Linked DNA regions of Nothobranchius furzeri. The protein of the gene in region 1 purifies or fractionates together with the protein of each later gene. This does not show direct contact. Links are inferred from orthologs where the notes say so. Each region holds a gene or a part of one and is shown on either strand. Other genes may lie near its edges. The genes, in order: smarcd3b and bcl7a.

Evidence for each region.
Region 2: the proteins of smarcd3b (region 1) and bcl7a purify together in Homo sapiens (affinity purification with mass spectrometry; 4 studies listed by BioGRID and IntAct, counting the BioPlex papers as one, with this or other methods). This does not show direct contact. The link is inferred for Nothobranchius furzeri from reciprocal best matches to the Homo sapiens genes SMARCD3 and BCL7A.

Annotation. Positions count from the first base shown.
Region 1 is NC_091747.1:45,543,107-45,547,693, reverse strand, and holds the start of smarcd3b (SWI/SNF-related matrix-associated actin-dependent regulator of chromatin subfamily D member 3b), read left to right. Parts: upstream 1-1,728; 5' UTR 1,729-1,863; coding exon 1,864-1,941; intron 1,942-4,587. UniProt on the Homo sapiens protein: Involved in transcriptional activation and repression of select genes by chromatin remodeling (alteration of DNA-nucleosome topology).
Region 2 is NC_091746.1:40,383,733-40,388,171, forward strand, and holds the start of bcl7a (B-cell CLL/lymphoma 7 protein family member A), read left to right. Parts: upstream 1-1,372; 5' UTR 1,373-1,468; coding exon 1,469-1,560; intron 1,561-4,439.

The DNA.
Region 1 (4,587 bases):
CTGTAATTCCTCCCCCCCCCCCCCCCCCAGTGCTGCACACTGGGACATTACCGTTTGGTGAGACCGACTGGCTTTGGTGAGGGAGACGTCGGGGGGTCCAGCAGGGGGTACTCCTGCACTCAAGGTTGACTTGGTGCATCGCCTGAGCTGCAGGGTCTCTTTGTTATCAGTGAACGCCCACGTGTCGTCGCAGGGGAGAAGGCAGAATATAAATGACACAATATATACATGACACAATCTCTGGGTCTGTAGTAATAAGCTCAGCGGGTCGAGCCTTTGACCTTGTCAGAAATGGAGACCAATGCCTTGCCTCTCTAAATAATCGGCCAGCTCAGAAAAAAACATCTCTCATTTTCCAGTTCAAGTTGAGAGGAGGCTGTTGATGATTTTTATCAGCAATGAATTAAAAAAGGTTTAGGGGCTGATGAAGTGTCAGCAGCAGTGTACCTGTATCATCAGTAGGTGTCGCCATTGAGCTAATTAATGCTTCAGACAAGGGCAAGCGTTTACTACTGAAATATTTGGAGGAACATGTTGGCTTTTTGGAAATCTGTACCAGTTAACGTATTTAGGATTTATCTGGTGTCTGGGTTTGGTTGAACTAATAGATTTGACTTTAAAAAGTGATGATGTGACCTCTGACCCTCTCATCACATCTATTCCACAGAAATAAAATTTCCTATTAATCTTGATTATAAATAGAAGCAACCTTGTTATTTATTTTAATACATCCGTCATAAATGATTTCTTATTTGGAGATCAATGTTGGTCATAATTTCTTTCTTCCTGGACTTCTTTGTTTCGTTGCCTCTCTGACACCAGCAGAAAAACAGAAAAGGAAATGATAACGGTGACGATTTGCCTTCGCGTGCTCCGCTTCGCCTCCTTTTGTCATTCAGATAACCTCATGAATATTTCACCCCTCTGATCCAGCGGCTGGAGGAAAGCGAGGGGCTGGAGCGGTCAGGGTGTGGGGTAGCTCTGGTCTGAGTGTCGACCTGTGTGAGGATGACAGTCTGGATTATTCGGCTGTCTTCTCTTTAGTCCTTCTGCCCTTGAAAGGACGAGTGTGTGTAACAGCTTCAGCTTTCTGCATTTTTATAGATAATAACATCAGCGAAGCAGGAGATCCGGGCAGGGTTGAGTGTGATTGCTGGTGTCATACAGAGTCACCTTGCTGCCCTGGCACTGGGTGAGGGGTGAAAACCAGTGAGGTGACTGGGGGACATGCTCCCAACTTACCAGTGCAGCCCTCCTGAGTAAGTTAGTGTGTGAAGCTCTCCATCATGTGGCGACTTAATGAGATGCAGCGTGGCCCCTTTAAGACTCCATCTTTTTTTGAGAATGGGCCCAGAGTCAGGGTTCTGTGTGTGCTGACCGTGGCCTCTGATGGTCTGGGGGGTGGAGGGTGTCTTGTTTTAGACCAAACCTCTCTGCAACGCATGCCCTTATCTACCAATGGAATGCAACAGCTGTGTGGGGGGAGCGGCAGGGTGGGCTGGCTGAAACCCCCCTGCCAGACCCCTGCATGGCTTCTCCCCCTCCACACACACACACACCACCCTACTCCACCTCCAAGCGAGCGACGTGCCGGGCTTCTGAAAGGCAGCACAACTCAAAAGTGATCCAGACACACAGAGAGCGGCTCGGCGGGGCTGCTACACGCTGAGGGGGAGAGAGAGAGAGAGGGGGGGGGGAGGAAAAAAGGGAGAGGGAGGGAAGAGGGAGAAGGAGAGTCAGGGACAAGCAGTGCTGAAAAGGAGAGCACAAAGAGAAGGAAAGTGGAGCAGGGGAGGGGAACAGGAGGCTGGGTGAAGGGAGAGGGAAAGACAAAAGAAGGAGAGGGGAGACAGGACTGAGCAAATGGCTACGGAGGAGACGGCGGGGGGAGCCAGGAAAGCCACCAAGAGCAAACTGTTTGAGTTCCTGGTCCATGGAGTGGTGAGTGGCGCTGTCTGTCATTCCCATGTAGAGGAGCCGAGCTCTGGCATGCATCTGTGTGTGTGATGGTGTGGATGAGTCGGTGGAGCAGCGTGTGTGTGTGTGTGTGTGTGTGTGTGTGTGTGTGTGTGTGTTATAGCTGGGTAAAAGCTGGCCATGTGAAGGATATTTCCAGCCCCTCTGATCCGTCAGGAGATGGCTTGAGGAGGATGAGAAGTGGAGCAGCATGAATGGATGGCTCTGAGCGGGAGGGAGGATTTCTACACATGAATAATTGTAGAAACAGAAGCTAAGGCAGCAGCAGCTCCTCCTTTTGCTAACATGAGGAGGGAAATGACGAGGTCCTTCCAGAAGGCGAGATGCTGGCTTCAACCTGTGAGGTCATCAGATGGAGTCAGAGCAGACGGCTGATCCTGGAGATCACACCGAACAATCAGATCCTTCATGTAACACCAGCTCGGCTAGAGGTTAGGCAGCTGTGAGCTGACACATGGGGCAGGTTTGTTTTGGTCGACTTCACCTCATCTCCAACATTTATGGCAGCTTAAACCACTCCTGACCTCAAACCAGACAACATATTCTTATTTCCACATAAAATAAAGGATCTAACCAGGCGCATTTATTACATTTTGTGATACAGATTATAAAAAACTCTGATATTTGCCAATTAAGTGAATAAATAATGAATTAACTGGCAAGAAAGTATGAGAAGATCCTCAGGAAGCAACAAACTTAATATTATTGTTGTTGCTGCAGATAAATGATGGATTTAATGCTGTTACGGTCAAAGAAGGCATGTGAAGCATTTCTGTGTGATGGTGGTGAGCCTCAGCTACCAAAACACCAAATCCTGACTCAATAACTGAAAACAGCTGAGTTTGAGGCGTTGATGCGTTTTGGCTGTGGCGGCCATCTTGAATCAAGGTGACTCCAGAAGTTAATTAGCTGAAGATGTTCTTCTAATGAGAGTTGGATTCAAATCCATCCAGTTTGGGATTATTCTGTTTATTACCAACGCAAACCGGATGATTGAACAGTTTTCAAGACTCCTGTTAGAAGTTGAACTGGTTTAAACTGGTGAAATGGGAAATGGGCACAATCTTCCAATTCCATGTTAGGAATGATTCAAATAATGACCATTTCAAGCTTGAATTGTTTAAAAAAACACTCAAAATTTATAGAAACATCATAAAGTTATTGTAAAGCTTCATCTAAAGTTTAGTTTGAATCATTTGCTGTGCTTAATTGAAATATGCACTGATAATCTACATTATTTAATAAGATTTTTACAGGATCTGATGGTTTTCTCTAATGAAACGGTGAAAAACCGTCTCGTATCCATCGTAAAGGCTCTAGGTGATACTTTTATGCTTTAATCTGTGAAGTTTTCTGACTCGGTTTGGGTTTTAATCCACGCTTGGTTGATTAATACTCTGAAACCAGATGAGATGTGGTGTCTTTGACAGGAACAGTCATTAAAAGGGGTCTGGGTGGCGAAGTCCCGCGCTCGCAGACACATTTTAGGAAACAACGGAGCAGGTGATTGATGAGCCAGATGAATCCGTCCTCTCAACAGACCAATTAACCTTGATGAGTCTCTGGCTGCTCTAAGCCAAATATTTCTCTCTGCTTGTTTTCTCCTCTCCCCTTTCATCCTCGTTTCTTCCCTCATATTTGATGGAAACATCTTGTTTTTATGCAGAAATATTTATACTAAAAGATGTGGGATCTGGCTCAGTGTGTCAGCTTGTGGTGGACGATGATATTTTCTTTCCTTTAGTGGGGAAATGTAAGAAGAAAATGGCTTTTTGATGCAGAAAACTTGCTAAAACTGCAGCCTGTGGTTCTTATGCAGTTTCTCCACTGAGGGACTAATAAAGGTGTTCTTATTCTTATTCTTATGGGTCATTATCTCCTCTATGTCCCATCTCGTGTCTGTGGACGTACGGTTGGAGGAAAATCCTCCGTGAGAAAACCAAAGATAAGCCAACACGTGAAGTGGCACACTGTAGCTATGTTGTCTGCAAAATGTTGCACAATTTGTGCAAAAGTGAACACAGACTTGATTTTTCTCCCACGTTAGTCGTTCTTTAAAGGAAAAGTTCCCACAAGGGGAGTTTCTTCCATGTTTCTGGAGTTTTGGGGTAATCAACGTCTGAAAGATGCAAAAGATCTTTTTATTCTGGGTGATTATTTTTTTAAAGCCGTCGTCACGGTGATCTGGTCAGCAGCCATGATGACATCTTTCTGTTTCTTCAAATAATTAAATATTTGAATCATAAAATCAAACAAAAGTAAACACAAGCAAATCTAAAATGCTCATTAAACCAGATTTATTCTGCTGTTTACATGTGTTCAACTTTTAGAAATTCATTTATATAATAATAATATACAATAGAATATCAAAATAATTTCAATCAAATTAAATTAGTTTATCATTGTAATCTATCATTATTTATGAATATCTAGTCAAACAAAAATATTTATGAGAAATAACTAAGATTTAAGAAATTATAAGGTTTGTTTTATTTACTTAAATATTCTGATAGTAAATATTTAATATAAAATATTTAAATACAAAGTCAAATAACATGTTCTTAAAATAAGGAGAAATGCAGATATTGTTTATTTGAACTATTTGATTTA
Region 2 (4,439 bases), on another chromosome or scaffold:
GGACAACCAATCACACGTTAGTATGTGCAGCAGAGCCAATCAGTGAGCTTGTAGGCGGGTCTAAGGGAAAATGGGCTCAGAATGGGCTTCAGCTTGAAGCGGCTGCCTCCGCATGGTCCTAGTGCCTGATATGTATCACAGTATAACAGTTTTGAACAGTAAAATCTGGCGAAAGAGCGGAAAAAGGATACTTAGGGTACTTCGGACAAAAGGGGCAGGTGCTCAAGCACCCTCCGGCCCACCCCCTCTACACGTGCCTGCTGCACATAAAATAAATCAAATTAAAGAAGGTACAAAAACTCACAAAAGATAAGTCAATCAAAGAAACAACATTTCGAAAAAGAGAAAAGCTGCCATTAGAATATACCTACAGAAAAAAACAAGCAGGAATTTAAATTAGCGAAACATTTTAAAACACCACGCAAAGCTTGTGCATTTTCCTGTTTTATATTTATTTGTCCCACTCCGGTCAAATAAATTCGTTTTTTGTTTGTTTTTATTCTCCATAAAAGCTGGCACCACTAGAGGGCAACATAGTCTTTTTTTAATCAATTTGACAGTAGAACGAGCTCATGCAGCCCTTAGATTTTCTCAAGACAAGTTGAATTATTTTTTCAAACTTTGCCACAGTGAATGATAAAATGAAACTAAGATCTAAGTTTTCTGATTTATTTAATAATCTCTGACATAAATTATGTATAAACATTTTAAAGGGGAAACACTAGGATGTAAAAACAAGCCTACTTTAAACAGACAGGATGATCCAAAGTGTAAAGATTTCTCAAACATGAGATACACAACAAGAATGAAGCCAATACTGAAAAAAACATCTTATTGATGACAACATTAAAACATGGCACAAGGAGACTAGAAAACTCTGTAAAGCTTAAAAACACAAATGCAAAAAATTTTCATTAAATAACTATGACACACAAAGGAGCCCAAATGCATTTAGTACATTAAAAAAATCCAAATCTGTTGGTTTGAATGCTAGGTTATTGCGATTCCAAGAAAAATATTGAAAATACAAAACACAGAGGCACAGAGAACAAACACAAAGAGGTAGTCACCATGGACAGAATACTTTATTCCTTTTTTTATTCTCGTTGTATCTGGTAGTGTGGGGCCTAACAGGAAACTAATGAAATTCAAGATTCCCCAAAACCCCTTTAAGCTGTGAAGATGCTCTGAAGGGTGAGAGTGGAGGGTTATTTCCTTTCTCTCCTTCTCTTCCAGATATGTGAGGCAGAATACGAGGCAGCGCGCTGCCTTTGTTCTGCTGCTGTCTCAGCAGGGAAACACATCTCTGTTCAGAGTGCAGCTGCAGCCGGCCTCTTTTCTCTCTCTCTCCCCCTCCTCCCCCGGTTCCACCAGGCCGCGCTTGCGCACTGGCTCCTCTGTGCGCTCTACTGTTTGCATTGTGTCTGAACTGCCGGCGAGCTTTAAAAATATTATACCCACCGCGGCAATGTCGGGCAGGTCGGTCCGAGCTGAGACACGGAGCAGGGCGAAAGATGACATCAAGAGGGTTATGGCCGCTATTGAGAAAGTACGAAAATGGTAAGAGAAAGAGGATGAAAGACTCTGCTTCGTTATCTAACAGGAGAAAGGCTTGCTTGTTGGGGGAGGAGAGGGAAAGAACGAGACGGAAAGAGGGATGAAATAGAGAGATAAAGGGTAGTTTTTGAACGGGCTTTTCGGCAGATGTACCGGCGGCTCAGGTGCACCGGAGCCGCCTCGGCAGGCTGTAGCCTCCCCACCGGTCGCCCTCTCCGCTCGCGCGGGGACACACTACATGTAGCCGGTGATTTTCCGTTGGTTTTAACGGCAAAGGGTTGAACCCAGAAGCCATTTCGATGCAGTCACATGAAGCCATTGCTGCCTGCCACCGAGCTGCTCGCGCAGGCGGCGGTTTTCGGAGCGCAACGACCGAAGAGTCTGGACCTGGAAACAATTTGACGACGGCGCTCTGGAGTTGGAGCAGTTTTGTCCGTCTGGAGTTTTAAATTAAGCGCTTTGAGTCGCCCTTTAGGTCTGATAGAGAACTAGGCTCGGTGGGGGTTGGGAGAGGGAAGTAGCTGCTGGGCTCTGAACACGTCAGTCTGCTCGCCTTTTTACACCTAAATCACATTTTGTTCACATCAAACCTCCAGATAACACGCGTTAGTTTCCAGGATGAGAGTTTTATCAGTTTGGAGTCGCGACTCTGCCTGCTTGGTGATTAACCAAAAGTCCACACAAAGCCAGAAAGTTAGATTGTCGCATAACTTTTTTCATATTTTCACTTTTAACATGATGAAGATCAACACAAAAGACACAAGTTTATACCTTTATATTGTTTTATTTTATCAGGCTTTTTGATGTTATTTATAAACATTTTCGTTTGGTTGATCTAAAGAGTGACTTTGTTCAGTTAAACAGTTATCCACGGAAGTAATGCACATTGAATTTTATTTTTATTTTAAACATTAAATGGTAATTTTGTTGAATTGTATTTTTTTTTCGCCCATTCTTATCTGAAGCAGACTTAATTGATAGTTCATTATTAGTTAATGGATACTAACTTTGCAAATGTTAAAAATTTCACTTTTTACATTAATTTATTTTGCAATAAAGGTAAACAGAAGTTGGAACAGGGATGTCCAAACTGTCCTTTCTGCCCACAAACATTCTTTTATTAATCAATTTATGTTAAATATGATGCAGTTATTAAATGTTTTTTTCATTCTCACTCAAAATAGGCCAAATACTCAAAAAAAAAAAAAAGAACTTAATGTGAACAGCGTGCTGGAGATAAAATTCCAACATTCTAGAATTGCATATTAGGGCCACACAAAATCAGTGTGAGGGCCACAAATGCCCCCTGTGGCTCTGGACCCATTCTACTGTGCTGTGGTCTATCGTCCACCTGGTCCAAACAGTTCTTTCCTTCAGGAGTTTAGTGACTTTCTATCCTCCACTGTGAAGCTGTCCAGACTGGTGATTGTTGGTAACTTTAACATACACGTTGATGATCCCTTTGATCACTTTGCCATGAATTTCGCCAGCCTCATGGACTCCTTTAGCTTTACCCAGCATGTTTCTGGCCCCACACACACCTGGGGACACACTCTGGACCTTGTTTTTATCCTGTAGCCGGTGTTTGTCTGAGGACGTTTATATTTCTGATCACTATTGCATTTTCTTTAACTTGTCCGTTTCTGCGTCCCCACCTCCTGCTCGCCATCTGGTTAGTTCTCGTTTTCTTAATGAGAGCACAGCTAGCAATTTTTCTGCTGCTTTTGATCCACCCTGTTCTTCTGATAATGACCCAGATTCCTGAACTTCTCAGTTTAACGAGCACTGCCTCTCCATTCTGGACAATATCTGTCCTGTCAGAACCAGATCAGTTCCTGCAGTGAACCCTACTCCCTGGTTTAATGACAGCCTTCGCAGCCTAAAGCGCCAATGCAGAAAAACTGAGCGCTTGTGGAAGAAAACCCATCTCCACGTCCATCTGCTGCACCTAAAGGATCTTCTGACATCCTTTAACTCTGCAGTCAGAGACGCTAGGGTTTCCTATTTTTCCCACCTGGTGTCCCAGAGCAAAAGGGAACCCCAAGGTGCTGTTTAACACCATCAGCAGCATTGTCTGTCCTGCCGGTGTCGGTACAAGATCTGCTCGGGTGCAAAATTGGCTCGGGGTCCGTCGACTGCCGATGACGTCTAAGTAGTTGATTGGCTGAACATGAACCTTACGGAATTACGCAATCATGTTATGTTGGTCCAGGCAAATCTTTCTGTTGGAAAGGTGGACAACTTTTACAAAGAAATCCATCATTACCTCTTTGAAAATACACTCTAGAGCTGCATGTATATTAGGGCTGAACGATTAACTGCATGTGCAATTAAATTGCGATGTGACAAAAGGAGATTTTCTAATCGCAAAGGCTGCAATTTGGCAGCGAGTGGTTAACGCAATGCTAATATACATGGAAAAACCCATAGGAATGCTAATGCTAATATCGCCGATTACATTATTACAAATTATGAATTAGAAACGTGCCAAATGATTACATTTGGAGTCTAATAGAAAGTAAAACTACCATCAATCAAATAAGTACAGACAGGTATTTTAGTAAAGCCAGAAAACTTTTAACTCCAGAGTTTTGGCTAGCATCTATGAGCGTAACTATACGCATGGACAAGACGTCAAAAACTCTAAACACAAAATACTTCAATAAACAGGACACACTTCTTTCCTGCCAATACAATTTCACAGGTGTTGCTAATACCTATGATCCTTCAAGGGATGTGCTCAAAGAGGAGTTCAACATTATGAATAAAATATAGTGTCTTATTTTACAAATACCATTATAAACACAAACTTACGTCTTAAGAAACGTTATTTTAATAACGAAACTGCTAAATTCTTTCCAACAGTATAGATGTGTAGTTCA